7 linked regions of the Rattus norvegicus genome follow. The protein of the gene in region 1 interacts with the protein of each later gene in a pairwise test. Links are inferred from orthologs where the notes say so. Each region holds a gene or a part of one and is shown in the gene's direction. Other genes may lie near its edges. The genes, in order: Fhl2, Zfp131, Jup, Dcp1a, Banp, Sp2 and Ccdc92.

The links.
Region 2: the proteins of Fhl2 (region 1) and Zfp131 interact in binary tests that used the Homo sapiens proteins (3 or more experiments, as listed by UniProt). The two-hybrid records come from large-scale screens. The link is inferred for Rattus norvegicus from reciprocal best matches to the Homo sapiens genes FHL2 and ZNF131.
Region 3: the proteins of Fhl2 (region 1) and Jup interact in binary tests that used the Homo sapiens proteins (3 or more experiments, as listed by UniProt). The two-hybrid records come from large-scale screens. The link is inferred for Rattus norvegicus from reciprocal best matches to the Homo sapiens genes FHL2 and JUP.
Region 4: the proteins of Fhl2 (region 1) and Dcp1a interact in binary tests that used the Homo sapiens proteins (3 or more experiments, as listed by UniProt). The two-hybrid records come from large-scale screens. The link is inferred for Rattus norvegicus from reciprocal best matches to the Homo sapiens genes FHL2 and DCP1A.
Region 5: the proteins of Fhl2 (region 1) and Banp interact in binary tests that used the Homo sapiens proteins (3 or more experiments, as listed by UniProt). The two-hybrid records come from large-scale screens. The link is inferred for Rattus norvegicus from reciprocal best matches to the Homo sapiens genes FHL2 and BANP.
Region 6: the proteins of Fhl2 (region 1) and Sp2 interact in binary tests that used the Homo sapiens proteins (3 or more experiments, as listed by UniProt). The two-hybrid records come from large-scale screens. The link is inferred for Rattus norvegicus from reciprocal best matches to the Homo sapiens genes FHL2 and SP2.
Region 7: the proteins of Fhl2 (region 1) and Ccdc92 interact in binary tests that used the Homo sapiens proteins (3 or more experiments, as listed by UniProt). The two-hybrid records come from large-scale screens. The link is inferred for Rattus norvegicus from reciprocal best matches to the Homo sapiens genes FHL2 and CCDC92.

Annotation. Positions count from the first base shown.
Region 1 is NC_086027.1:52,920,318-52,924,894, reverse strand, and holds the start of Fhl2 (four and a half LIM domains protein 2), read left to right. Parts: upstream 1-1,568; 5' UTR 1,569-1,806; intron 1,807-4,577. UniProt on the Homo sapiens protein: May function as a molecular transmitter linking various signaling pathways to transcriptional regulation. Negatively regulates the transcriptional repressor E4F1 and may function in cell growth.
Region 2 is NC_086020.1:53,457,840-53,461,470, reverse strand, and holds the end of Zfp131 (zinc finger protein 131), read left to right. Parts: coding exon 1-74; intron 75-1,733; coding exon 1,734-2,408; 3' UTR 2,409-2,977; downstream 2,978-3,631. UniProt on the Homo sapiens protein: Plays a role during development and organogenesis as well as in the function of the adult central nervous system. May be involved in transcriptional regulation as a repressor of ESR1/ER-alpha signaling.
Region 3 is NC_086028.1:85,824,454-85,829,053, reverse strand, and holds the start of Jup (junction plakoglobin), read left to right. Parts: upstream 1-1,624; 5' UTR 1,625-2,010; exon of another isoform or gene 2,011-2,083; intron 2,084-4,600. UniProt on the Homo sapiens protein: Common junctional plaque protein. The membrane-associated plaques are architectural elements in an important strategic position to influence the arrangement and function of both the cytoskeleton and the cells within the tissue.
Region 4 is NC_086034.1:5,666,387-5,670,225, forward strand, and holds part of Dcp1a (mRNA-decapping enzyme 1A), read left to right. Parts: intron 1-1,673; coding exon 1,674-1,801; intron 1,802-3,839. UniProt on the Homo sapiens protein: Necessary for the degradation of mRNAs, both in normal mRNA turnover and in nonsense-mediated mRNA decay. Removes the 7-methyl guanine cap structure from mRNA molecules, yielding a 5'-phosphorylated mRNA fragment and 7m-GDP.
Region 5 is NC_086037.1:66,985,766-66,989,604, forward strand, and holds part of Banp (protein BANP), read left to right. Parts: intron 1-3,259; coding exon 3,260-3,403; intron 3,404-3,839. UniProt on the Homo sapiens protein: Controls V(D)J recombination during T-cell development by repressing T-cell receptor (TCR) beta enhancer function. Binds to scaffold/matrix attachment region beta (S/MARbeta), an ATC-rich DNA sequence located upstream of the TCR beta enhancer.
Region 6 is NC_086028.1:82,440,913-82,444,751, reverse strand, and holds part of Sp2 (transcription factor Sp2), read left to right. Parts: coding exon 1-2; intron 3-41; exon of another isoform or gene 42-181; intron 182-479; exon of another isoform or gene 480-673; intron 674-1,611; exon of another isoform or gene 1,612-3,349; coding exon 3,350-3,662; exon of another isoform or gene 3,663-3,839. UniProt on the Homo sapiens protein: Binds to GC box promoters elements and selectively activates mRNA synthesis from genes that contain functional recognition sites.
Region 7 is NC_086030.1:37,456,071-37,460,656, forward strand, and holds the start of Ccdc92 (coiled-coil domain-containing protein 92), read left to right. Parts: upstream 1-1,605; 5' UTR 1,606-1,717; intron 1,718-4,586.

The DNA of each region.
Region 1 (4,577 bases):
CTCCCGAGAGAGTGACAGGAGTTAAGAATTTCCCATCTTTTAAGATACTCTTATGGCCTTGCCACCTCATAGACATCAGTGCCAATCTCAGCTGGTATAGAAACTGTTCACCTCATCTAGAGTCCTCACCATTTAATTGAGATAACTAACTTTACCAAAAGGAGCCGAGGATCCCTGGAGAGGCCAGATACAGCTAATGCTGACTACGGGACAATTATCCTAACTCCCTTGCCTCTCAAGTTCTGAGGTCCCACCATGGAGACCCTCTGGTGACAGCAATCAGGAAGTATCATCCAGAAGAAAGACACCACACGGTTCTTCCTGCCTTAAACGGAAAATGTGTTGCCCTCAGCACCCCTCGGATGGAGGAAATAACAAGCCTACCCCACACGACTTCTACCACTGTGATAGTTCTTCACTATCTATTTGACTGGGCTTAGACTCACCTAGGTGACACACCTCTAGAAGAATCTTTGCGGTAGTTCCTGAGATGTTTAACTGAGGAGGAAAGACTGGCTCCCAAAGTGGACGGCACTTCTCTAGAGCTGGGCAAAGAAAACTGAGCTCCAGGTCTCCTTGCTCGCTATTTCTTGACTGAGAAGACAATGTGACCAGCCACTTTACATTCTTACTGAGGCCATACCATTTTAGTGATGACAAACTATATCCTTTCATAGACTCTGCACCCAAATGAATCCCTTGATAAACTGTCACCTCATGACCCTGAGAAATCACCAACCCCGGCCTTCATTGCCTCTCCACATGCCCATCTTCCACCCTGTCCGGGTGTGGACCCATTTGCTCAAGAGCAGATGCTGCCTTTCCTAGGCGTGAGGATACCACATGCCTCACAACACAGTCTCGTGTCCCTACTAAAGACCAACTCTGCAGAGGACCTTGGCTTACAGTGTGAAGGCCACATTAAGACCAGCGTTTTCTTTGTGCCAGGAGGGAGCCACTGAATGTCCAACAGCTCTCAAGCCCTGAGTGTTGAGCATAGGACCTTCTCTCAGTGAGCTCCCTGGTGGAACAGGCTCATTAATGATTCTCTAGGTCATTGGTTTGGTTCATTCCATGATGGAAAGGTGTCTGCAAGGCAAGGCCCAACAGACTACCATGCCAATGTGTGCGCTACACACACATAGTTCCTTCCCCCACATCTGCAAACGACCCATCCATCCATGCTTGCACCAGGCTGCAACCGGGCAGGGACCCTGCAACCCAGAGGAGGGTCCTGGTGTTAGTAGTCCCGTGTCATTCCGCCCTTGGGTGGCAGTGGCTATAGCTCTCTGCATTGCCTAGCAACAATCCCGGGAGCCAAGTCCAGGGCGCAACGATGGTTGACAGTGTAAGCCAAACACCAGGAAGCAAGGAAGAAGGTTAAGTCAAACAAAAGGTCTGTGGTAACGTCAGCAGGGGGAACAGACGACGACCGGCTGCTGAGGGGCGCTCGCCGCCGCGCCCGGCTCTCCAGGCCAGCGCGCCCAGCCCGCCGCCCCGGCGCGTGTGTCCTTATATGGTCAAATGACTCGGCGGGGGTTCTCGAGGGCGGGCGCAGCGCCGGCTGCACTCCGCCCGCTGAGCCGCTGCCGCCACCGGTCCACAGTCCGCTGGGTTCCCCTAGACCCCGGCCTCACCGTGTGTGAGTACTCCTGGCGCCGCCCAGGCCACAGCCCTGCTTGGAACACGAGGATCCCCACCAGACAGCTGCTCTAGGACGCGTGGAGAGACACCAGTGGCCAGCGCACCCGGACCGCGGGGCGGAGACCCAGGAGACCGGAGCAGAGCTGTGCAGACCGCATCAGGGTAGGGTCCCGAAACGGAGAGGACAGATCCTGGCGGGAGGAGAGCCCTATTTGCAGAGGACACCCGGGATGGGGACCCCAAACGGAAAGGACAGATCAGGGAGAGAGGAGAGTGTAGCTGGGCAGAGGATACCCAGGATGATGACCCGAAATGAAGCGGAGGGAGTCAGGAGGGAAAGGGGAGAAGGTGGATCGGAAATGTGGCAGAGGCTGAAGGAAAGGCTTGAGGGGAGATCTCAGGACCCGCGAGTTGATCTACTGGGAGACATCCCTAGGAAGAACGGATGCGGGGCAGAGAGGACCAAAATCATGCGTGTTGGAGGACTTGAGCACAGGAGAGCCGAATTTGGAAATGGTGGGGAAGGGACTGTTGGTGTCCAGAGGGAGGGTGGCGGCCCTGTAAAGGTGGATCACTGCCAGGTGGTGGGAAACGATGAACTGCCCACAGGTCAGCCCCCAGAGGTGAAGTGGAACTGGTTCCTGAAGTCTATGGGAGGGAGGTGACAGGCTGGTCAGCACGTGGAAGGCCAAGCATTTCCCTTGAGAAGAAGTGGGAGTTTGCCTGTGACCACACACCTTGACTAATCCCCCAAATTAAAACCTGAGCCGTAGGGTTAAAAAAGAAAAACAACTTCTTTAGGATGAAAAGAATTCTGATAGATTTCAGTCTTATGGAAAGAAAGTCTTGAAATGCTTTTTCTGATTTAAAGTGAAGAAATGGCCATATTTGCTTGATAATCTTCAGTTGTGTCTCTGGAACTCAACAAAGAACGCATTTTATGAAATATACAGCTGTCTTCGGTAAAGCCAACTTTCTTACACATATTTCGGGAAGTAATTAACTACAATTTGGACTTATAGTTACAAGGTTGCCTTCGAAACACTGCTCTAAATGTGTCTCGTGTTGGGGTGCTACTTTGCTTATGTGTAAATTTCACAGTAATGCAATAGAGAAAGGGTGTTTGTGGGTGTGGCTTGTGGGGGGGATTGTTTTGTTGTTGTTGTTTGAGATAAAGCTTCATTCTGTAGCCAGGAAAGCCTGGAATTTACTGTGTCATCCCAGGTAGCTTCAAACTGGTGCCTATCCTGCCTCAGCCTCCAACGTGTTGCAATTGCAGGAGTAACCTACCACATCCTGCAGCTACAGTGATCTAGAACCTCCCCGTCGAAGCCCCACCACCATAGAAACCAATTTGCATTAAGTTTTAGAATTCCCAACCCAACTAAAGTTTAATAAAAAAAGAAAAACAAAACAAGATTTAAATCATTCTTTCCCTCATTCTTTTTTCAGATTCAGTGCTCTCCTAGTTTTTAACAGAACAGTATGCAGTGTTGGGGACCCCTGTTGTGGCTTCTTTTCCTTCTGCCTCCTTGCAGCCCAGCCTCCCAGGCAGGATAGGGATGGGTATAGAAGTCTTAGCTGGCAGATGTACTTGGAGCAGAGCCAAGTCTATCAGGGCCTCAGTTTCCTCCCAGAGAACTAGATAACTATTGCATAGTATAAGCACCATGTGTAGATTTTAAAGCCTCCTGTTCACAGAGAAAGAAACTTAAATAGAAAAATCAAAATAATTTGATGTCCAAAGTTTCCCAGCCTGTAGAGTGTGGCCCCAAGAACTGCCTCCAGATAGCTTGATATCTGAGTTCTGACCTCTATTCTCTACTACGATGCATTGAGAGAATATTCTGTTGAGGCCCTAGACCACATGTTTTGACCCAAGATTGTTAAACCACTTCAATACTGAGTGATATCTCAACTGCAGACAGAAATGCCCAGCAGGATATTAAAAAAAATAAATGAATAAACAAAAAACAAACCCAGCTAACTAAACAAACACAACTCAGAAGGCCAAGAAGCCTGGATTCTACCCCTGTTCTGCACTGAGAACTGGCTACCTAACCTGACACACCATGTCAAAGTCAATGTATTGACCAAGCCAACTCTTATCAAAGACAGCGTTTACTTAAGGGCTTGCTTACAGTTTTGAAGACTTAGTCTATTGTCATCATGGTAGGGAACATGGTGGCACACAGGAGACCTGGTGCTGGAGAAGTTACTGAAAGTTCTACATTGTGATCCACAGGGAGAGTTTGGCCTGACGTAGGCTTTAAAACCTCAACGCTCCAGCCCCAGAGACACACTTCCTCCAACAAGACCATACCTCCTAATCCCTCTAATCCTTTCAAAGAGTTCTACTCCCTGGTGAACATATTGTCAAACATATTTGCCAATGTCATCCTTCTGATTCAAACCACACCTCGGGACCTGCCCCATCTGTAACCAGCTGTGATCTGGATATGATTTTTTTCCTCCAAGACTCACGTGTTGGAAGTTTAGTTATCCTTGTGTAAGTGTTGGGAGGTAGGGCCTTTGAAAAGTGGAGTCTAGGGGCTAGAGAGATGGTTCAGCTGTTAAGAATAATTACCAAGGGTCTGAGTTGGCTCACAACTCATAATTCCCTGTAACTTCTGCTTCTAGAGATCTTACATCTTCTGGATTCAGTGGACACCTGCACAAGCTCATACAGATACATACCACACATAAGAAATAAGTCTTAAGAGAGGAAGTCTAGTCAGCAGAAGGCTCCTCCTTGGGAGGAACTGGGCTTCCTCCATGTATCTCAGCCTCTGCTTCCTGTGGATCTCTCTTCCTCTGCCTCCTCTGTGAGGCCCTTGAATCTACAGAACTCTGAGTTAAGTAAACCCACCTGAACGCAGAGCTGAGCGTTTAGGATGCTGGAAAGTGTTCTTGGAGCCAACAACTATAACTTG
Region 2 (3,631 bases), on another chromosome or scaffold:
TCAAATGTCACCTCACTGCGTGCCAAACTGGAGTAGGGGCAAAAAAGGGAAGGAAGAAGCTTTATGAATGCCAGGTATGTGTGGGTATATTTTGTTTTCATAAGAGGAACTTACTACAGTCATTAGAAGTGCAGAGTATTGGATAATTAATAGTCCTTGACTCGTTGGGTTGACTGAGAAGATTTTGACATGACGTTAAAGCAAAAAACACTATGTGTTCATTGGAAACCATTCCTGGAATTTTGAAATCTGATCTTTTCTTGAATTGGTGAAACCCAGTAGGATCTTCTCTTGTGACTCTGGGCAGTAAGTAAGCAGCAAGCTTCAGCTCCTAGAGAAGCATGCACTCAAAATACTGGATAAAACCGATACTCTCATGCGCCCCAGAACAGCTATGAATATGGGCCAAAACAACCGAAATCCCTTAAACAGTAAGGGGCTTTGTTTTTTAACTTGTACAGCTCTTGCATGTAAACTTAGAAGATGACAATGTCCTCCTGTTGCAGTGTCAAAAGGTTGGGCATGCCTTTAGTTCCTATAGTGTGGGTAGGTTAGGGGGTCTCAAATGCTTTTTTGACACAACATCGCAGTGGTATATCAGCATCTCAGGAAAGCTAGAGCCTCAGAAAGACCGAAGTAAAGTTTTAATACAAGTTATTAGCAGCCCTAGATGATCAATATTGACAAAATTGTCAAGTTTGGTAGGTGGTTTTCTTTCTTTCTTTCTCCTCCTCCTCCTTCTTATTCTTTTTCTTTTTTCTTTTTTTTAATTTAAAAAGGCAATCTGTCCTATTCCAGGCCAGGCTGATTTTGTAGCTGAATTATGGTTACCTCCTGTCTCTCCTAAATGCGGAGGCCTGCACCCCACTCCTGGTTGGGGACAGTAGGTTGGGTGTTTGTTTATGTTTATTGACTAACAGCTGTGCTTTGTCATCAGAGGAGACTTTGTAGGAGTTTGTGCTGTTTTCACTGCGTGGATTTTAGGGATTGGGCTCAGAGATTGTCTCCCAACGTGGTGGCAAGTGCTGCCTTTACCTGTTGAGCCAGCTCACCTGCCCACAGTTAATTATTTTTACCCTTAGGAACAGTCATTAGCTTCTGGGAGAGGGGCAGGAAAGGCAGAAAAAGATAGAACTGTGTTTTCCATGATCAATAAATTTTTCTTCCAAATAGTGTAATGGGTCTAAATCTTGAAACTGTGGGATAAACTATGATATTGGCACTTTATATTGGATATTTAACAGGAGCAATGCTGGAGTGTTCCCAGGATTTAGTCAGTTTTAGGTGTATGGGCTGAAAGGTCAAGTGAAACCAAGTGTGTGAGTAGCTTTGCACTAGGTGCCCTGGGAACTATATTTAAAATGGTTCTGTAATAACTTACCTGTGTGGATGGTAGTGTTTTGTCATTGGTTGGTTTGTTTTCTGGTACTGGGAATTAAACACAGGGCCTCCCATATGCTGCGCAAGTACTTTCCCCACTAAGTTATGCGTTCACCATTCAACCCGTATTAGTGTATCTTTGTGAGGATTTCTTTGCTGTTGTTTTTTGTTTTATTTGGTTATTGTATTTGTTGACTGTTAGGATTAGAACCAGTATAGTGCCTTGTGATTGCTAGGCAGATACTACTGAACTAACTTCAACCCATTAGTGTATTTTATAGAGAATAAATGTACCCGCATTTACTTCAGTATGATTACAATTATCATTAACATACTGTGTTTGGTGATTTCAGGTCTGTAACAGTGTATTTAACAGCTGGGACCAGTTCAAAGATCACTTGGTAATACACACTGGAGATAAACCCAACCATTGTACTCTGTGTGACTTGTGGTTTATGCAAGGAAATGAATTAAGGAGGCATCTTAGTGATGCTCACAATATTTCAGAGCGTATAGTGACTGAAGAAGTCCTTTCAGTAGAAACACACTTACAAACGGAACCAGTGACATCAATGACTATTATAGAACAAGTTGGGAAAGTGCATGTGTTACCATTGCTTCAGGTCCAAGTGGATTCTGCACAAGTAACTGTGGAACAAGTTCATCCAGATCTGCTCCAAGACGGCCAAGTGCATGACTCACAAATGAGTGCGCTTCCAGAGCAGGTCCAGGTGAGTTACCTGGAGGTGGGTCGGATCCAGACTGAAGAAGGTACTGAAGTACACGTTGAAGAGCTTCACGTCGAACGGGTCAATCAGATGCCAGTGGAAGTACAAACTGAGCTTCTAGAAGCTGACTTGGATCACATGACCCCCGAAATGATGAGCCAAGAGGAGAGCGAACCTAACCATGCAGATGCTGCCATGGAAGAGTACGAAGACACTGAGGGCTTGGAGACCAAACCAGGAGAGCACTCCCACGCTGTAAAAGTGGACCACGACAGGACATCTATGCCCGTTTTAGAATGAAATAGCAGTGATATTTCTAAATTTACATTTGGGGTAAACTGATGGGCAGTGTGATCGTAAGCTATCAAATAAGTGGACCAAAGTTAAGCTATTTCTGTTGTGCTGAACTGTTTCTATGGAAACAGGCTGATGTCCTTCCAGTTAATGCCACAGAGTGGGAATATTCCTCATAATGAGTGGGAGCTTTGAGAAGTATATTTCTGGTAACTTAAATGAATTATATTCTTATTATATAGTTGGGTCCGAATGCATCTATTTTCATTGTGGTAAGGGTCTCCGTGTCCTCTTCCCCAGGTCATGTCTCTCCTTAAATTCTTTGCATATTATAAAATCATACTTAAAACCATTAGAATACATACATTTGTATTCTAATGCATGTTTAAAAATTGAGTATGTAGGCAACACAAGGCTGCATGAGGGAAGTGCATTGTTACTGTGCAGTTAATAGTTGGGGGCTAGCTTTAATTCGAACAACATTCTTGTCTAACTAGTGGCTACAAATGCTGTCCCCACAACAGAAACGGTGGTGGCAGAATTTCTAGAATGTTAAAAAAAAAAAAAAAAAAAAACCACCCTGTGCCTTTTCAAAAACCAACAAAACTTCAGAAAAACATCTCTGGTTCTTTCAAAGTTTGTGTTTTAAAGAGCAGCATAAAGTGCTCTGGTACTTGGTATTTTTGCTTAAAATGACAATTACCAATTCATTTTCCTTTAAGTTACATTGAAAATTTTTCATTTAACGGCGGCTAAAGGGCCATTTTCAATGGAAAAAATTCATTTCCATCTGTGGTAAACTTTATTTTGATGAGAACTTGCACTAGTATTTTACCACCAGATGGGAAAAGATTAGCTGAGCATCATTTTAAAATTAATGTATTTAAATAAAGTACAGAGGAAACGTATGTATATAATATATCAGGCTTTGTTTTGAGTGGACTCTTTTCCCCCCAATCCTTAATGTAAAGATTTTGTGCTATAACTTTTAAAGCCATACAAATAAGAGTGCTAAACTGTGGACTTAAAAGTAGTTGTGTAAATATTTTTAATCAGTATTACTTGGAAAATAAAAATATAACAACCACATAAAATCAATATGCTATTTTCTTTACCTGTTAAATACTGGGAGATAATTTACATTTTAAAGTAAACTTTAAAATTATGTGTTCATGACTCTTTTTAAAGTTATTTAATTTTATGTGTGTGGGTGTTGTGCTTGTATGTAT
Region 3 (4,600 bases), on another chromosome or scaffold:
CACCCCCCCCCCAAACCCACCAAAGCTTCTTTACATCATGATTTAATCTTTGACGGAATCGCTTTGTCTGTGTCTCCCTGGAGAGGTATCCACCGTCCGCCCGAACCCCTACAAACACATACTGACCATTCTGTTCTTAAAATAAGGTGTCCAAGTTTACAGTGCACCACATTTCCTAGTCTTTCGATCTCTGGAGCTTAGTTTTAAAATCGCATTACACTGTATTTACTTTTATGTGTGTGGCACTTGTGCCAAGGCGGGAGATCAGGGGACAGAGGACAACCTTTTGGACTTGGTCTACCTCCACCAGGTATCAAACTCAGGTCATCACACTTGCCCAACTGAGACATCACACAAGCCCATTAAAGATTCTCTTAATGCGGATCATTTTGAACCCTCTTTGTAGACCAGGGTGGCCTCTAACTCAGAGAGCTGCCTGCCTCTGCCTCCTTGAGTGCCGAGGTTAAGGTTAAAGGCCCGTGTCACCACTGCCTGGCTGCCTGCTCCAGCACTTTTTAAGAACTGTCTCGAACGGACCATCTCACTGGCTTAAATACTGACATTCCTCAGCTGTTTAAGCTACAAAGTTTATTTAATCTCTCCAACCCAAGATAGATAAAGCTAATGAACCCACTTAGATACAGGGTGAAAAGTATACTAGCTGGCCTAAGGTCATACAAAGATTAAGGGGAGAACCCAAACCAGGCCTTCTAATTCTAAACAGAAGAGAACCGGGAACACTCCATCTTTTGTAGGGGGAGAAATCCCAACCTAGCACAAAGCCTATGAAATGCTTTACAAACATCTTATTACTATGTTGAGGCAAGAATGAATAATCCTGACGCTGAGTTGGCTGGCTAGTGAAGGCGTCAGTCCTTTCCCATGCTTCCCCCTGACTCACCTGTTGGACAGGTAGGGGGAAGGGGAGAATAATGAGTCTTACCTGCTCAGGGCTAGGGTGGGGCAAGTAACGCCCCACCTGTTCCATTGGCTTTTGCCTTAGTCTTACTGACAGCCCTCTGTCCAATCATAAGGAAGAAACTTTCTATTTGCCAATAGATGCAGAGTGAGGATGAGACCTCAAGTTGGCGTCCACCCCAGAGTCGACTGGCAGTCCCTGGGGCCAATGGTGAGCGCATAAACAGAGGCGGCCGTGGTAGAGGTCCCGGCGTGAGGCTCCGCCCCTCAATAGGATAGTCAGGCTGGGCAGCCAGTGAGATAACCTCAGAGGGTGGGAGTCTCCCTAGGGGGCGGAGCTTCAAGGGGGCGAGAGGTGTGGCTTGGCTGTCAGGTCCCTTTGCCTTTTGTTCGGTTACTGAGTTGCTGCCTTGGCCAGAGTCCGGAGCAGCCGCCGCCCGAGCGCCCCGAGCTCAGTTCGCTGCCTGCGCCGGCTGTCTCCCGGCCAGACCCGACCCCGACCCGGCTCGGCCCGGCTCCACGCTCAGGTACACCGGATAGGGGTACGTATCACTGAGGGTAGAGTAGGGCAAGCGGCCGAGAGGTTGGTTCCAGCGGTTTCAGGGCAGGTGAGGGCGGGTGCCAGGGAGTGCATCCTACACCAGCGACAGGGGGCGCACTGGGGTCCGGGGCACGGGACCCCTGGGACAAGCGATCTGGGTTGGAGCGCCCCTCCAGGCTCGGTGAACCGCAGGTCTGAGAAGGGCGGGGAGGAACTAGGGCAGGTGCCTCGGAGTTCGCGCCTCCCCCAGGGCCCGCGGAGCTTGCCCGACGCGGCGTCGCTGACTCTCCCCTGGAGCTGACCGGGCAGACTTTGACCCGCTCCGCCTGGTCCCAGATCCCACGGTGACAGGAATTTACCGCTCGGGAAACTTGCTGCCTAGTCTCTTTGGGGCCACCCTCACCCCACCCCACGCGTCATCCTCGCTTTCCCTCCCTCCCTACTCCCCCAGGCCTGGGTGGGGCCCTATTGTCTGCGCCCAGCTTACCCAACTGTGGGGGCCGAGTGCACATTTTCCCAGAGACGCGATTCCCACCTGCTGAGCAGAGCAGGTGAGCGCTTGGAGGACCGAGGCCCTGCCCTGTAGCTCCGAGCTGGACCTGTGGCGCCTCCCTCCGCTCTAGTGTACGCCGGTCTATGGCTTCTCTTACGGAGGTGGATGGGGTGACGGGGGAACTGGTGAAGGGTCTGGGCTCAGTGCCCTACCGATGTCTGTCTGACCTGGTGGCATGGCCTGGAGTCTGGGCCGGTAGAGAAAATTAAGAAACACTCGCCCAGATTTTAGTAGCTTGTGGTTTCCAGAGTGTTGGTAGGGAAACAGCGATATCTTTTGATTTCTGCAACCCATTATTGTTGAGAAATCACTCCAAACAAACTTTCCAGGAGAAAGTAACCGTGGGGGCCTTTTCTAGGATTTTCCCCGTCTCCTTGTTGAGAGCTGATTCAAGGCTTGGTGGTACTTCTTAGAGGAAAGCCTCTTCCCTGGTCAGCTCCAAGCTGAACACAGCCTGTGCGCTTTGACCCGGTTCTCCCTGCCCCCACCTCCATCCTGTTTGCTAGGCCCCTAAGGCCCGAGGTAGGGACCAATGGGGGTGGGTGGGGGCGTTGCTGAAAAGGGAAGTGTCTTCTTCCTTCCCTTTTCGCATCCTCACGGGACCACCACACCCCCTTATATGAGGCCTGCTAAGTGCCTCTCCTCCCAAGCTCTGCCCCTTCCCCAGGAATGGGGTTGGGGCAGGGCTGGGCCAAACTAGGAAGATTGGGAAGAGTGATTAATCTTTCCCCAACTCCCCCGTTCCATCCCCCAGCTTATTTAGCTGGCTGACCATTGAGGCAGGGTAGCATAGGGCAGGAATGTTGCTTGCTGTTCACTGGGTTTGAATTATGAAGGTGCGTCCTTTCTAGAGGACTTGCCAGAAGTCCCTCCTCCACCCACTCTTTAACTGAGTGTTTGGCGGGGAAAGTGGGACAGGAGGAAGTCTTTGCTATGGAAGGCTTCTGCCATGCCAGGCACCCTCAGGGTGAACAGTGTGAGCCCTCCCCTTGGTTCCCTGTGCTGAGAGCTCCTCTCCAGCTGGAATTGTCAACTTCTACTCGGCTTGCTGCACTCTTCTGTACAAATCTGAAGATTGGCCTTTTCATAGGCATTTGGAGTCCAGTCTTCTTGGGGGGACAGAGCAGGAATGACAACGCTAGCGGGGGGGGGGGGCAGAGGGAAGATGGGGTGGGGGTCGTGAGCACTGTTTGCTCTGATTCTCCTGGAAGCTGAGGTGGTGCTTGGTTGTGAATAGAAGAGTGGGGGTGGGAGACATATCCCCCGTAATCTCGCCTTAGGTCCTGTGGTTGGTAAAATATGTGTGACCACCTCTAGGAAGAACTGGGGGCATTAGTTTTAGGCTCATGTCCTCTCCGTGTCAAGGAGGAGGAGGGGTAGGCATTGTCATTAGGTGAACTAAATGAATAGTTTAGCAAATCTGGTTCGTGGCTCTGGTGAAAAGACAGTACTGAGGAAGAAGTAGGGCTATGAGCTGCCCGGCCCAAGCTGGCTTCTGACGGACAGGAGGGAGGGGAAGCAAAGGTAGGATCCGATTAGTCATTTCTCACCAGATCAAGTCTGGGCTTGGGTGACAGAAGCCTCCCCCGCACCCGAGCTCCACCCCATTCCCTCTGGAGCCGCCGTCTGGCCTGCTAAGGTTGAGCTTGGAGAATGCAGCCTGTGGGAACGGAAGGTCAGGCGGGGCCTGCTTGACTGTTTTCCTTCCTGGGGGCCCACAGGTCATTGCCTATGAGAGGGAGGCCTGTCGTCCTGCAGAGCTGCTTTAGGACAAGGTGACACATTTGGCTGGTCCACAGAAGGACAGTGATCTAGGGAGACAGTCTAAGGGGTCAGCTCTGAGAACAGGGACTTGGACTGAGATAGTTTGAATCCCTGAGCAGTGTCTCCTTACCTGTGCAGCCTGCGTCAAAGCACCTTCCTGGCTCAGCGACCTCAGGAATTAATAAACCTAGCTACCCAGAAAGTACTTGACTGATGGTAACTCAAAGCCAGAAGACTGTCTGGTACCAAGCGCCACTAACCATGCTCACAGAGGCAGGCGCACTTTTTTTTTTTTTTAAAGATTTATTTATTTATTTTATGTATATGAACACACTGTAGCTGTCTTCAGACATACCAGAAGAGGGTATCAGATCTCATTACAGATGGTTGTGAGCCACCATGTGGTTGCTGGGAATTGAACTCAGGACCTCTGGAAGAGCAGGCAATGCTCTTAACCACTGAGCCATCTCTCCAGCCCGAGGCAGGCGCACTTTAATGTCTTCTTCAGAAACTCAGGGAAGGATAGCAACTTGCCCAGTGTTGCTAGACTCAAGAGAGGGCTAAGCTCAGACCTCATTCTGCTGTTAGGCTCTACTACAACTCTGGAAGGATTTCTTTTTTCTTTCCCCTTTTTCTTTTGGCTGCTAAGGACCAAATCCAGGGCCTTGTGGATTTGCACGTAGGCAAGCACTTTCCCATGGGATCCATCATCGGCCCTGGATGGAAGTTGTATCCCCCCACTGTCCTTTAATTTTTTTTTTTTCGGAGCTGGGGACCGAACCCAGGGCCTTGCGCTTGCTAGGCAAGTGCTCTACCACTGAGCT
Region 4 (3,839 bases), on another chromosome or scaffold:
TTCCCAGGTACCCATAGCTCTTGGTGTTAGAGGCAAATCCCTTGCCTATTCTAGAACTTTGAGCGGTAGCAGCAAGGCTACAGACATTGGTTCTTTTTGTGCCGAGTTCTTTTTTGGACAGCCATCCTCCACTGGTACCACTTTATAAGAATGGAGTGTTATTGTAAATGTTAGTGTAGAACGTTGTGATCTTGTCTAAATACACTTTTTCCTTTAAATGGAAGTATTTCGAGGTTTGTATGACAAGCTCCTCTTTCTTTGATACTCTTTTCTCTACTTCATTTTTCTTCTCTAAAATAAAAAAGATCTAACTCCAACCTCTTCATTAACAATATAAGTCTCTAAGAACCCCTAACTATTATTAGAACAGTAGTGTCTGTATACTCAGGGATATTTATAGCTCTAATTTTAAGGAATAAGCATAATGTCTATAACATTTGGGGATATTTATAGGTCTAATTTTAGAAGAATAAAACAGATTGGAGAAAGTGGGAACTTCAGTATAGTGAGTAACTTCATTTAAGACAATTCATACAAACTATAGCATTGGTCTAAGAAAAGGAGGCTTAAGAGCCTCTATTTGGGAACTGAAGAACATTTTCTGTACGTTGGACAAAAATACACTAGAATGTCATAATGTTACTTTGCAGGAATCAAAAAGAAAACTGGATTTGGAGTTTTTAATTTGTGTGACTTTGGGCATGAGCCTTAATTCTGCTTCTGTTTCTGAATCTGGAGAACAGGATTTCATTATCTCCCTGTGATATTACAGAAACAAATGTGAACTATGAAGTGTTAGGTTGAGGAGTGTTCAGTGGATTGTGTGTTGAATGTCCTTGGTTCAGAAATTTAGAGCTTTCTTACTGTAGAACTCGGGAAAAACATACAAAGACCATTTAGTGTAAGGAAAGTTACCGCTGTAATGAGTGGCAGTCATAGACAGACTTGTACCATATTTTTAAAAACCTGGTACTGGCAGCACATGCCTTTAGTCCTACACTTGGGAGGCAGAGGCAGGTAGATTTCCAAGTTCAAGGCCAGCCTGGTCTACAGAGAGAATTCTAGGGCAGCCCAGGGCCACACAGAATGACCATGTCTCAAAAACTGAAGAAAAAAATGTTACTTCTTCCAGCATCAATTTATTACGAGCTTACATCAAGAGATGGGGGTTGGGGTGAGAAAGTGACATTTGGGCAAATACTTGCCGGAGAGGAGATGCTGGTACCAGTTTGGGGGGCCGCAGTACAGACAGAGGTCTTAAGGTAGAAACAGACCTGCAGATAGTGGCAGGGAGCCCAGTGTGGCGGAAGCGGGAAAGACTCACAGGAGGTGACATGGGGTGGGAACCGTGATGACTAGCCTTTTATGCTAAGTAATTAAGTCCTTATGAAGACGTAGGTGCAGAGAGGGAAATGTCTGACTTCGTGGTTTTTGTTTTTTGTTTTTTTGTTTTTTCTGTTTTAAGAGTTGAGGCTTAAACCCAGGACTTTGCTCATGGTAGGCAAACATTCTACCATGGAGCTATATCCCCAGCCTTGTACTTTTGCTTATGATTTTAGATACTAATCTTGTCATATGATGTAACTAGGAATTTCTTTTTAATGAGAATAAAGGAGTAGATAACATTTCTGCAGATTGAAAGGTAACACATGTTCTCTTTCTTTAAATCAAAGGTCAGCTTCGCCTTACCATGGCTTTACCATTGTCAACCGACTGAACATGCACAATCTGGTTGAACCAGTGAATAAAGATTTGGAATTTCAGCTCCATGAACCATTTCTTCTGTATAGAAATGCAAGTTGTGAGTATATCTGTTTGCATTTAACAGAGTGACTTTAATTTTAGAACACTAGGTTTGGGAGTTTCAAAATCTACAAAATATGGCCTACATTATAAATGCATGTCTTGGTAAAAGATCAAATTTGTTTTAAATATATTAATCTCTGTGTACGACGTGTATATGTATGTGTGTACATATACCCCAGCCACTTTTCAACCTACTAGTTTAATAGTATCCAGTGGGTACACATACTATGCCAAAGCTTTTGTGCTTTAGTGATGGGGAGTCTGTGCAGGACGTGCAGGTGTGGTTACAAGGCTCAATACACTTAGTTGGAGAATTCCTAGCCCAAGGTCTTGTCAAGCATTTTTACAGGTTGTAATAGCTGTTGAATTTAGTCAGCAAAGCTCAGGGTAGCCCTTTTGAGAAGAGTATAGGTGTTCCTCACCTCACAGTGGCATTACTTGCTGGTAGAGCTCTCATAAACTGAGTTTGTTGATGTACTTACGCTGCTGGACTCCAGAGCTTAGCAGCACAGTGTGCTGTGGAGTATCGGTTGTCCCCGAAGTGATCACACGGGATTGGGAACTGTGGCTGGCTGATGGTGTACAGTACTGAGGGGAGTAGCCCACGGTGTTACTTCTGTTCCTATCCCAGGGGAAGGTACAGTCCTAACTGTGGTTTTCACTCAGTACACACTACTTTCATAACACATTTTAAAGTTTTTTTTAAAGGTTTAAATGTATGAGTACACTGTAGTGTCTTCAGACACACCAGAAGAGGGCATCAGATCCCATTACAGATGGTTGTGAGCCACCATGTGGTTGCTGGAATTGAACTCAGGACCTTGACTACTAAGCCATCTCTCCAGCCCCTTTCATAACATTTTTAAGCAAAAAAAAAAGAAAAAAGAAAAAATCTTAAATCAGATTATCCTGAGTATGGGACCATCTGAACAAAAAAGTATAGTTGAAGATCAAGGGTATAGCTCAGAAGAATACTTAGTGTCCATGTGCTTTGGGTTAGATTGGGTTCTGATAGTCCAGTATGATGTTAGAAGTGTGACTGAGGACAGGGACAGTTTGCTTGTTTTTGACCCAGGAGGGATATCAAAACAGAGTGGTGATTTAGAAAGCCGGACACCTTGGCTGGAGCTCTTTGTAGACCAGGCTGGCTTTGAACTCACAGATATTTGCCTGACTCCCTCCCCAGTGCTGGGATTAAAGGCGTGTGCCACCACCGCCCAGCATTTCCTGCTCAGTTTAAGTTTCTACATAAAGTAGGATCTATGTCTTCACTTTCCGTAAACATTTCTCAGGATTAACACTGGAAATACCTCTGGGATCTTAAATCCTACAGGCTTATTAGAGACACTTGTTGAGCTGGAATGATAGTATACATTAATAACCCTAGTAGGTTGGGGGCTAGGCAGCCTGTGCTGTAAGCTCCTATCTCAGAAATAAAAAAAATAAAAATTAAAGGCACATTATTAAATACCTGTAAGCTCAGGATTTATGTGAACTAGTAAGAAAGGGTGTAGTATTACAAATGGCTGTTTTATGTTAAATTTCCATTAAGGGGAAATTCTTCAAAAGAACGCTTACTGAATTTTTAATATAAAATCAGTCCAATTCTGCTTTTTGCTGTTGTGACAGTTCTGTATTGCTACAAGTCATTGGGGGAAATCAAGAGACTGATGCGCCTGATTACCATGTGGCATAAGCCTGAGTCCTTCAAATTAGAGTCCTGTAAAACTGACTTTCACTGGCTGATCTGGAGGTGGGAACACTCAGGAGGCAGAGGCAGGTGGATCTCTGTTCGAGGCCAACCTGGTCCACAGACCCAGCCAAAGCTACATAGTGAAATCCTGTCTTTAAAAACTAAACAAACAAAAAAGCAAATAGAGCCCAACTTTCCAGAGTTTCAGTTATTTGGAAGTGGTTCGCTAGTACATGTGCAGAACAAATAAAGGCAGATTTATTATAAGCAAACAAACTGTTGTCTGCTTCTATTGTATGAAAACTTAGCAGCTATCTAACAGTAACTGGAATCAACATAA
Region 5 (3,839 bases), on another chromosome or scaffold:
GTTTGTAAGTCGGGTTTCTTGTCGGGAGATGTGGGTGGCCTGACCAGTGTTTTCCAGGGACCGTGTAAGCAGGGTCAGGTCAAAGCTCTGGACAGCAGGTGGAGCCTTACAGAGCCTACCGCAGGTTAGACAGTGCCACACACTGAGCCCAGGCTTACAGAGGCTGCCACAGTAACTGCCACTGTCAATGCTGGATACCTACAGAGGCCTGAGGCTAAGAGCTTGCTTTGCCAGCCAGAGACATCATAGTAGAGGTGCATGGTAGGGGTTAGCAGAGCTGATAAGGTGTCTGTGAACAGGCATGTGCCTTACTTACAGATGTGTGCATGTGCACATCTATGACCACAGGTGTCTGAAGACATGTATAGGCATACTTGTAACAGTTGATGGCATATGAAGACATATGGCTTGATGAATGGCCATCAAGTCAGGCCCATCTGTTGAGCTCAGAGCCCTTACCCCATGGAGCCTTTCACTCTTGGACACAGGGTCATTCTGCCGTTGGAGCAGTTCTAGTGTTTGTATCCTTTCCTTCCTTCTGAAGCCTGCTGATTCTGCTGTTCAAGGAACGTGTGGAGAGCCCCCCTTTGCCTCTACCTGGGTTACCCTGGTGGATGGCCCTGGGTAGGTCAGGGGAGACAGGCACCAGTGGGCCATAGATACTGTCCTGTCTGCTTGAGCCCAAGTTCTGGCAGTGAGACCAGGAAGCTCCTGTGACTCAGGTGCTGGAGGGAAGTGTTCACTGGTCCTTAGAGATGGCTTTGGTAGCCTGTAGGGTTATCATAGGAGCCCATGGGACCCACTAAGATCCACAGGAGCTGCTGAGTAGGGAGACCAGGAAGACTGCTGGGTGAGCAATGCAGGGGAGGAGAGGTCCCAAGCTGCGCTGGCTACCCAGGAAAGGCCCAGGCCAGCATATACAATGGAGAGTCTGGAAGAGCCGGGCTCCATCCAAGTCTGCCACCAAGGGCTGTCCCCAAGCAGGAGCTCGGTTTACCGTCTCCTGACTGTAAAATCCCCCGTTTTGTTTCAAGTTGAACTGCTTGGTCAGATGAGGGAGAGCACCATGCCTGGAGAAATGTAGTTCTTAGCAAAAATAACGAACTTGCCTGCAAGTCAGAGTGAGTGAAGGAGGAATCTAGAGGCTTCTGTCACTGATGCTTATAAGATTGGATCATTTTACCCTGTTTCAGGCTTTTCCTGCTGGAAGGAGCCATGCTTTATCTAAACAAGGAGTCATTATTGTCAGCCAGCTGTGGGCAACTCAGCATCTGTTGCCCTGCTTTCCTCTGCAGAGGGAGGGAGTGGCCAGTGGCATTGTGCAGTAGCTGTGCCAGAGTGGGTGTGGAATAGGGGACGCTGAGGTATCTGGGATAGAAGCAGCAGGCAAGTGTTTATGTTGAGTTCTGAGCTTGCCTGGAAACCAGTTCCCAGATGTGTGTCTGCACACCCTTCTTCCTTTAGTTAACCTGGATTGAGCACCTAGAGAGGGCTGAGGACTGGCTCCCCTGTTTTTGAACATCCCACTGCCTATCACCATGGCCCATGGGGTAGCTGACCAATGTGTGGTTCCTGTGAGGCCCAGGAAACTTTCCTCCTATCCCCACATGTTGACATAGAGAAGAGCAGCCATAAGCAGCTCGAGAGGTGTGTCTTGAGGGCCAGAGTTGTGCAGAGACAGGCTGTTATTGTTGCTGTTGTCTCTTGGCTGTCAGGCCTCCATAGATGAGGGGAATCACACTGGAAGTGAGATTGACCCAGAAGCCACTGCACTCCCCAGGAAGGAGGTAGATAGACTGCTTCCCAGAGGAATGCTGGGAGTTCTCCTTATTAGAATCCAGCATGAGTCGGCAGTCACATCCCCAAATAGTTGTCTCACTTTTTTTTAGTTATTCAAAAATATTAAAAAGGACTTTAAAGTCATTAAAAATATTTTCCCAGTGCCTGTGAACCTGGGTCTATTTTGGTTTGGCAGACCCTCATTAGCATAAGAGACACTGTCCTTATTTACAGTGTGTCCTTTAAAAGGGCACATGTCATCTGACAGTCAAGCTAGCTGTTTACAAGTACAGCTCTTCTTAGAAGTTGTCTGGGTGAGTTTGTACTGCTGTCTCTGGTTGTGGGGAACCTCACGTGGTCCTCTCCATGCCAAATGTGCTTCCTACCCAGCAGTTCTGTCCACTGCTGGGGTTCTGTCCACTGTTGGGGTTGCACGTCTGGGCGCCCTGGCCTTCCCACCTAGGGCAGTACCCAAGGCTGATTGAAGGGCACCTGTGAGTGCGCAGATGGAGGCTCTGTATTGCCTGCCTCGAGCCTCCTGCCCGGTCGTGTGAGCAGCAGGTGGAGTTTGTGGGAAGTGAATCAGTGGGATGGATTTCCAGAGCTGGAGTCACCCAAGCTTATTCCTCCTACTCCACATCCATTCTGAGGCAGGGTCACTGTCAGGCAGGGTCAGGACGATGGAGGGATGCAGCAAAGAGGACTGAAGGATCTGTTCTGTAGTGACCTGCCCCTGGTGTCTCTGCTCACACCCTCCCCTTGGAGCCTGTTTGCCCCTCACTGTCCCTGCCACAGTAGCTCTTCCCTTCTTTCTTCTTTGTGTGCGTGTGTCCGAGTGCGTGTGTGTGTGTGTCCGAGTGCGTGCGTGCGTGTGTGTGTGCGCGCACGTGTTTGTGGATGGTGTCCTCATCTCTCTTCACCTTATTTTTCCTGAGGGTTTCTCACTGAACCTGCAGCTCACTGTTTGGCTAGGCTGGCCGTGATCCACCTCCAGCAGTCTTCCTGGTTGGGGTTACCCAGCTGCTCCTGATTTGTGTGTGGATACCGAAGATCCAGGCGCAAGTCCTCATGCTGGCACACAAGCAGTACACCTACTGCAGCCCTCCCTCTCCTTTTGTTTCTCTATCTAAAGTTATTGGCTCCACATGGGCTCTGTGCGGGGTTTGTTAAGCTCTCCCGCTGTCTTCAGTGTGCCTGTGCAGTCTTCAAGTTCTAGCTTATTGGTTTCCACACGGGCTTTAAAAGACTAATGTCTGTGTGTAACAAGGGTGTTTCTGCAAGACTAAGTGTGAATGTGGCAGATTTCATGACAGTCAAAACTCAGCACGTCAGGTGGGTGTGTCTGCAGTGGGCACTGAGGCTCCATTGCATTCACATCCATGCTGTGGGCCTGGGCCTCTTATTGCTTCTGAACCAGAAGAGGATAGGGGTCTGCTGACCCAAGCTCCACTGACCAACCTGGCTTTGTCCCCAACCCCAGGTACTGCAGGGTGCTCAGCTCATAGCCGTGGCCTCTTCAGACCCTGCAGCTACAGGAGTAGATGGGTCGCCTCTCCAGGGCAGTGACATTCAGGTTCAGTATGTCCAGCTGGCGCCCGTGAGTGACCACACGGCTGCAACGCAGGTGAGTCCTGTCCCTCTCAGTCCCACCAGCCTCCCTGGTAGATACTGAACTTGGACTGTGACTGACATTCCTAGAACTAGGAACCCTTGTCGAGAAGCATACAGGTCTGGCAGAGGCATGGAGCTTCTGTTCACTCTGAACTCCTAAAGTCAGAATGTGTGGGCTCCTCTGATCTCGGCCCGGCAAGGGCAGGTGACCGTGGTAGGAGCAGAAGACTCAACAGTCCGGTTCTGTACCATGTGAAGTCTCCCTCCTCCTCTGCACACCTTGCTGGCACTGGCAGCTCCCCTTCCTCTGTGTGGTCCAAGCCTGGTGCAGTCCGCAGTGCAGGCTCTCACAGAGGTTGCTGCTCCCCTGAACCCGAGAACCAGGCTTTGGCCGTAGGCTGGTCAGGATTTTACTTCTCCCAGGAGCTGTTGAGGCCTGCCTGCCACAG
Region 6 (3,839 bases), on another chromosome or scaffold:
AGGTACCACAGCCCCTCTCCCTTCCCTCCCTCTCTGCTCACCCCTTTGGCTTGCTTTTGAAACAGAGGCAGATCAGCAGCAGATCTGATGGGAAGCTGGAGTCACCATCATTTGGGGTGGCAGGAAATGGCTTCTGCCCTGAGATCTCTTCAGGTCTTAGGCCAAGTAGACATAGTTCCCTCTGTAGAAAGCAGATGGAACAGGGAAAACTGGTCTGTTTTTTCTTTCCTTATGGAGTAGCTCTGGGGCCATAACAGGCTAGATATGTATACTTTCATAATAAAGTATTTTTATTGTAAGATTACATATAACGGCAAGAGTGAGAATTTGAGCCAGAACCATAGAATTTGGTGTAAAGTAAGAAAGTTCAGGAGGAAAAAAATGCTGGCCACTGCTAATGACAAGAAAAATAACAGGTGCAGCCAGACCTTTTTCCTTTTTTGAGACAGGGTCTCCCTGTGTCCCAGGTAGGCCTTTACCTCACTGCACAGCCAAAGCTGGCTTCAAACTTGGAATCCTCCTGCTGCAGCCTCAGTGCTGGGATTACAAGTGAGCTCTATCCTTGCTTCTCTCCACCTCTGCTTCTCCCTGAGAGATGGTTTCTTGTGCTTCATTCATTGTGTGTGCACGTGGGCATGTGAGTATGCGTTTTCCCCTTCAGTCTAGACTCCTCCTGAAGGAGAAAACAAACTTGTTTTCCCGACCCTGTCATTCCACTCAACATGATGACCTCTGGTTTCTTGGAGTACGTTCACAGCTGCTTCTACTTCTGCAGCTGTCAAGGCAGCTGGCCATTCTGCCAGCTGTTCAACTCTTGTCTTTTTAGCTGCCAAGTGACCGCCACCTTGCTGCTTTGTAGTCTGCCCTGCCAGCTGTGCGCAGCTGCTCCTGTCACTTTACAATGTCTGCTGCCCCTTCCTTCCTTCCTTCCTTCCTTCCTTCCTTCCTTCCTTCCTTCCTTCCAGCCAGGCCGGCCTCAGACTCAGAGATCTGACTGCCTCTGCCTCCTGAGGGCTGGGATTAAAAGCTTGCACCACCATGCCCAGTTGCTGCTCCTTTCTGTTACCAGCTCAGCCCACTGTAAAGCAGACAGGAACAGACAGAGCCTAAGGTTGCTCAAGGCAGACAGGGCAGTAAAGGAGACTCCAGCACCGTGGGAGTCAAACTCCGTTCCCCAGTGTCTCTGGATCCCATTACAGATGGTTGTGAGCCAACAGATTGTTGGTGCTGGGAAATGATCGTGAGAAGGAGTGCTCAAATGAACGTTTAAAAGTTGACCCAGGGACTGGAAAGATGGCTCAGCGGTTAAGAGCACCGACTGCGGGGCTGGGGATTTAGCTCAGTGGTAGAGCGCTTACCTAGGAAGCGCAAGGCCCTGGGTTCGGTCCCCAGCTCCGAAAAAAAGAACCAAAAAAAAAAAAGCACCGACTGCTCTTTCCAGAGGTCCTGAGTTCAATTCCCAGCAACCACATGGTGGCTCACAACCATCTGTAATGAGATCTGATGCCCTCTTCTGGTGTGTCTGAAGATAGCAACAGTGTACTCATATACATAAAATAAATATTAAAAATATTTTTTAAAAAAAGTTGAGTTAGGTGCAGTGGTGCACACCTGTAGCCATATTCAGAAGGCTGAGGCAGGACTGACATGTGTGTTACCAGGCCCAGTGATTTTAGCAGACTTGAGCAATGTTCATCATGGGGCTGGAGAGCTGGGTCATGGTTCAGAAACTGGCTGCTTTTTCCAGAGGCTCCAAGTTTGATTCCCAGCACTCACATGTTGGTTGTCAACCAGCTGTAACTCCACTCCCAGAGGACTCAGCGTCCTCTTGTGGTCTCCATCTGCACACATGTGATAACAGACATGTAGACAACACATCCACACAGCATGGTAATAAAAATCAAGCAGTGCCTAGCACCCAGCACCCACCCAAGGAGAGCGACCCCCCACCTGACTCAGGCTGTCAGAGCTTAGCAAAAGGGAAGACAGAAACGGACAGGTCCTCTCCTCCCGCCCCCCCCCCCGCCCCCCGGTTAGTGAGCCTGTTTACTACCTCAGAAAGAATGAGTACATGGCAACATGCTACAGATTGGGGAAGATATGAGGCCTCTGTATGTATTGAGGGATGGCAGGTTTATATGTTGTCACTTAACTAAAAGCAGTCTTCAGTAACCAGGAATTAAAAATATCCCCAATTAAAATCACAGTTTTACAAAGGATTTTTTTTTCCTGGATCATTTAAGCATAAACTGCCACCATGGTCGTCCTCCCACTTCCAAGTGCTTTAATTCTCCCACACAAGCACAGTCCCTGTACACATCGCATCCATCAAGCCTGAAACTCACTAGTGAAATGCTGGTGTCCAATGGGGAGGCACCACTCAGGTTTCCTGCATGCTTTGCTTAGTAATTCCAGCACTGCCCATGGGCTCTGTCCACCTCATGTACAGTAGTCACACGTCTCTGGTCAATCTCTCTTTCAGGAATAGTTCCTCACACCCCCACCACCATGAAGCTGGAGTTTAACCCAGGGCTTCGAGGATCGGCACTTTTTACCTTGACAGTCATGGCCTTGCTGCTTTCGAAGGCCACAGGCAGTTGTTTCACAAAATGTCCTTGAGTTTATGTGACATTCCCATGAGCGTGCTCACAGAAGGGTGTGCGCTGTGCCAAAGCAGTTCAAGAGTTCTGTTTGTCCTATTGTTGGTGACAGTTACAGTGGCAGAGCCTGACAAAGGAGAGAAGCAATGATCCTCTATATCTAATTATGAACTTGTTTTTCTTTCTTTTTTTTTTTTTTCCGGAGCTGGGGACCGAACCCAGGGCCTCTCTACCACTGAGCTAAATCCCTAACCCCTTCTTTTTTTTTAAGATTTATTTTTATATATGAGAGTACACTGTAGCTGTCTTCAGACACACCAGAAGAGAGCAGTGGATCCCATTACAGATGGTTGTGAGCCGCCATTGTTGGTGCTGGGAAATGTGGAACCTCTGGAAGAGCAGCCATTACTCTTAGCCACTGGTCCACCTCTGCAGCCCCCTCCTTTTAAAAGATAATTTTGCTTTGTGGTTAAGCTGGCCTCCATGTGACCGTAGCCCATGCTGGTGTTGTGCTTTTTTACTAGTCTTCCGATTTTGAGATTTAGCAGTTAATATTTTTCCATGCTAAGCAGAGTAAAGGTTGGGTTACAGGTCAGTGACCACTCATGCCAGTTTAGTGTAGGGCATCATTGGCCTTGTCAAGCATCAGTAGTGCATAAATATGTTCTTGGGCTTGATGAGATGACAGAGGTGTCCCAGCCCTCCCTTGGACAAGGTCATGCTGCCAACTCTTTTCTCTGGCCCCTCAGGTTTATATCCGTACACCTTCTGGTGAGGTACAGACGGTCCTTGTCCAGGACAGCCCCCCAGCAACAGCTGCAACCACGTCAACCGTCTCCTGTAGCAGCCCGGCGCTCCGAGCTCCCCATCTGAGTGGCTCCAGCAAAAAGCATTCGGCTGCAATTCTCCGAAAAGAGCGACCCCTGCCAAAGATTGCACCTGCTGGGAGCATCATCAGCCTGAACGCTGCACAGCTGGCAGCAGCTGCTCAGGCCATGCAGACCATCAACATCAATGGTGTCCAAGTCCAGGGTGTGCCTGTCACCATCACCAACACTGGCGGTGAGAGAGAGTCCTGAAGCCAGGAGGGCCCTGCAGCCGGGCTTTGCACTCAGCCTATGGGAATCCCAGCCAGGCCCCTGGGATCTCCAGTGTCAGCCATGAGGATGCTGGCCATCCGAGATGATGCCTGGTGTTTGCCTGGTCCCCTCCTGCCTCAGGGCACATCTGTGTGTATTG
Region 7 (4,586 bases), on another chromosome or scaffold:
CATCTCAAGGGGGAGGCCGGTGCTCGGCGACGGCAGGGGAGTTGTGCCTAGCACTGGCCAGCTTACCTGCCGAGGGCCCGGCCCTGGCGGTGGTCAGACAATGGAGGCGTCCGGCGGCAACAGCAGCAGCAGCCTGGCGCGCTGGGGACACGGGGAGGTCCTCATCACCTGGGCGGGATGCTGGACGGCCTCGGCCGGGACTGTGCAGTGCTGGAGAGGACATGACAGAGAGCCATGCAGCGGACCGCTCTGCGAGCCCCCGCCCCCGCCCCGTGCCCCGTGCCCCGTGCCCCGGCCCGCGCGCGCGGCCATTACCGCTCTCTCCCAGGACCCGCCTGGATGCGCTCCAGGGCGCGGCCCTGGGCTCGCAGAGCTGCGGCGCTCACGCCCGCCTCGGCCCGGACAACAATGGGGCCCGGCCCGGGAGTCCAGCATCCGCGGGGCCTCTTCAGCTTCGTCCCGGCCCGACTAGGGCCTGCACCGCAGCGGGCACCGCGCTGACCTTCTCTCCCCGCCATGCCCGCGGCCCAGGCCCGGCTGAATGATGGGTTGTTTTCCTTTCCTTACTCCCCCGCTTCTCCCGACTCTACCGCCTTCCGCCCCCAAGCCCGCTCGTCGGCCCACGCCCCGTCCTGAAAAGGCAAAAGAGACAAACACACCTAATACGATCGGCCGGTCCAACTCGCTCCCAAGTGTGGCTGAGGAGCGCGTCTAGGCCGCGGACTCCGCGCGCCCACCGGCCTCCTGCTTTCCTCAGGGGACACCTCACAGGTGCGCCTCCGAGCAGCGCGCGCGCGCTCCGCACACCCAGACGCCTCCGGGGGACGGCGCGCGTGCGCACGCGCCAGGCCGGCCAGCCAACTCCATCCCCGGGGAGGGGCGGGGAGAACAAGGAGGGCACCGCACGCATGCGTGCCGGGCGGCTCGCGTCCCCGCCCACACACGCACGCGCGTTCCCTTTCGGCTTCTCCACCCCTCGTTGTCCCCGCCCCACCCCGCCCTGGTTACCCAGGGCAACCGCAGTGCGGCCGCACCTGAGCAGTGCGCTTGCGTGTTACTAACATCCCTCTTTTTTTCCCCCTCATCCTCGCCCTCGCCTTTGCCCTGCCGCAGCCGCAGGGAGTAGGGCGTCGTCCCCTTTCCCCTCCGCAGAGAGAGCATCGATCCGCCCGGGCCCTGCCCCCTCTCACTAGCAGACCGCTGTCGCGTCGGCGCCGCACCGTCTCCTCAGACATCCTCGGGTGCGACTAGCCGGACAGCCAACGTCTCCCGGCGTGCACCGCGCCGAGCGCTCTGAGGGAGCGTGCGGAATGCACCGGCCGGGCGGCGTCTCTTGAGGACCGTGCCGCGCGGCAGGGCCGCCGCGCACCCGGCTCCGACAGTCCCTGCCCATGGGCCGCGGGCCACCGCGAGGAGCAGGCCGAGCGCCGCAGCCGCCTGAGGGACCGTGGCAGGTGAGGCGCGCACCTGCGCTGATAAAGAATCCTTGAGGTTCGCTCGCGGGGCTCGGAGCCAGGCTGCGCACCGGCGCGGCGGGGGAGGCGCGTCGCAACGGCTGCAACCGCCGGCCCGGGCCGGGTACGAGCCGCATTGCAGGTGCGGGGCAGCGCCCCGGGGTCCGGCCCCACGCCGGCGGGATGCTGCGGGCCTCAGCTCCCCGCCCGCGTCACACCTGCCGCCTCCCGGACCCGCAGCCCTGGCGACCGGGTGGCTCCGCGTAAGTACTCTGCCCTGAGCTCCCGGGTCCCGCGGACGCGCACGCTGGCCACGCTCGCAGGTAGCGCTCCGGGTTGCGGTTCCCTCGGGCTCGACCCGGCCCTGCGGGCTAATGTCAAGCCTCAAGTATCTTTAGCTGCACGGTCTAGTCACTGATGACAATGAGGTGCCGGAGGAGAAAAATATGACCGTGCCCCGTGACAGGTGGCACCGATCGGTTTCATAACTAAGTACAGGCTTGGACACACCTTTAGGAGTGTTAGCATCCGGGCGTGATGGCGCACGCCTTTAGATTTCAGCTCTCGGGAGACAGAAGCAGGTGGATCTCCGAGTTGGAGGATAGCCTGAACTAGATAGCGAATTCCAGACAAGCTCAAGGCTACATGGTGAGACACCCTGTGTGGAAGGAAGGAAGGAAGGAAGGAAGGAAGGAAGGAAGGTAGGTAGGTTAGTTAAAACGAGGATCGCAGACTACAAACTAAGTTTGAAATTCATTTAAATAGCATTGGTATTATTTTATTTGCACAGCCAAGAATTCCCTGGCATTCTATCGCCATTGAATTGTAAGGTTTTTCAGATGCTAGCATTCCAGTTGACTTTTACCTCCAATTTTTCATGTTTTCTCTTTGGCTAACTGTTCACCAAAATGGCTGAATATTCTAGTATGTTTGGAAGAAAGGCGTTAAGACTTGTGCTTCTTTATTTTGTATGTGTATACATGAGTACCACTACTGAAAAGCCTTAAAATAGTTTGGATTGCTCCTCTGAAGCATAATGAGTCAGTTTTGTTTCGATTTTTCTGTTTGGATCTGAAGTATGGAAGGATGAACATAGGGCTCTACTGAGCTCTAGCCCCAGGCCTGATTTAACTATATTTTAAAGTATAGAACAATGACTTTCACGGACCAGAATTTTCCTGTTAACACTCTTAAACATCTCAAATAGGTGTTTTGGAAATTAGACATTTCTTTCAACGCCGAATCTTTTCAAAGAAATGCATGAATCCTTTGTTTAGAGCAGCTCACTCATTCTGAGTTCTTAACTCTCATCTGGCCTATGTTGGGAAATCGATTTTAACCTCATTATCTAATTGTCAGGATGTGTTTGCAGCAGGACTGACGTAATTATGATGTCGATGCTTTTAAGAAATACTTGTAAAGCATCCTCTCATATTTCTGGCAAGAAGATATGCACAGCTTTTTTTTCCTATCTAAAACAAGGTCAGCCATAAATAGATCCTAATGCAGACTGGGTGACACATTTATTAACTAAGATTAACTATCTCCTGGACTTCATATATTCTGAGGGCAGGGGCAAGACACCCTGCAGTGCCAAACATACGGAGACTGCTGCAAATGCAAGTCCCAGACCAGCTAGGCAGGTCTGGTGTTTGATCCCGCAGAATCATTTGGCAGGGACAGACAGACCTGTGTCCTAATGGTCTTCAGACATTTGAAGGTCTGCCACGCAGTAGGGATTTGATTGCTTTAGAGTCTTTCCGAGTAAGGAAGAGGACACTGAGTACTTACAGGAAGACAGCGTCCCTGGTGGTGCTGTAGAGCAGAATTACCAGGGGAAGTTCAGCAGTGAAAGGAAGGGGCTGCTCTTCCCTCCGGCTCCCTCCCAGTGCAGCACGAATGGAGGGGACTCAGGGGTGGAGGGAGTTGGGGGGTCTGATGGTGGGTCTCCCAGGGTTTGGTGGTCACTGGATTCCAGGACTTTGTTTCCCTCCTAGCTCTGTGGAGTTTGTTGTTACATGTTCTGCTGCCAGCTTCTAGAGCTGTGGGCATGTTGACATCCCCAGACACCTACTTGAATCCTGGGAAGATAGTGACTGGCTTCTCTGCTTGGTGTCAGAGCTAACTTGAACCCCATTTTGCATGTTTTTGGGGGCTTAGAAATAATAAAGCACTCCCACGGTCAGTGTTATGTTTGACATGTATTAGATACTTCTTCTCTGGCTTTTCTTTTCTGTAATAACCACCTAGTCAAGATAATTGCTGTAGGAAGTCATTCTTGCTAAAAATGAGGTGGTAGTGCCAATTGTTCCAAGAGTCAGCAAGTTGTAAAAGTGAGCTGAGGACATTACAGATGGGTAAGATACGACTTTTGGGCTTGCTCTGCATTTTGCTTTATTTCATTACTCAAATAGGAATCAAGTTTCATAGCAAAACAGTCAAGTCATACCTACCTAAAGTGGTTGTAGTCAGTGTTTTTTGGATGGTTTCTAAATATCCAGAAAGTAAATCAAAACTACAAAGTAGAATCACTGAAATGAGGAAAGGACAAGGAGGCCATCTTGGTTAGGCTTTCCATTGCTGAGGTGAAACACCGTAACCAAGAGCAACTTGGGGAGGAGAGGTTTATCCCATTCATAGTTTCATATAACAGTTCTCAGCAAAACCAGCGAGGGTAGGAATTCAAGCAGGGCAGGAACCTGGAGGCAGGAGCCTCCAGCCATGCAGAAGCCATGGAGGAGTGCTGTGCTCTGGCTTGCTTTCTCTGGTTTGCTCAGCCTGCTTACTTATAGATCCCAGGACTAACAGCCCACGGGTGGCCCTACCTACTGGGCCCTCCCACATCAGTCACTAATTAAGAAAATGCCCTACAGGCCTGCCAAAAGCCCAGATTTTATGGAGGCAGTTTCTCAGTTGAGGCTCTCTTCTCTCTGATGACTCTAGCTTGTGTCAGGTTGACATAAAACTAGAGAACACAGGGGCTTTGTGATTGAAGTACCTGTTTGTGCTATGCCAGTCTTGATAAGCTGGTTAACAATGGGAATAACTATGTCACTGTTGTCACTATTAGAATAATGACTCCCTAATATGTACATTAGTTGGGGTTAGCCCTGTGGCCTATGGCAAATGAAC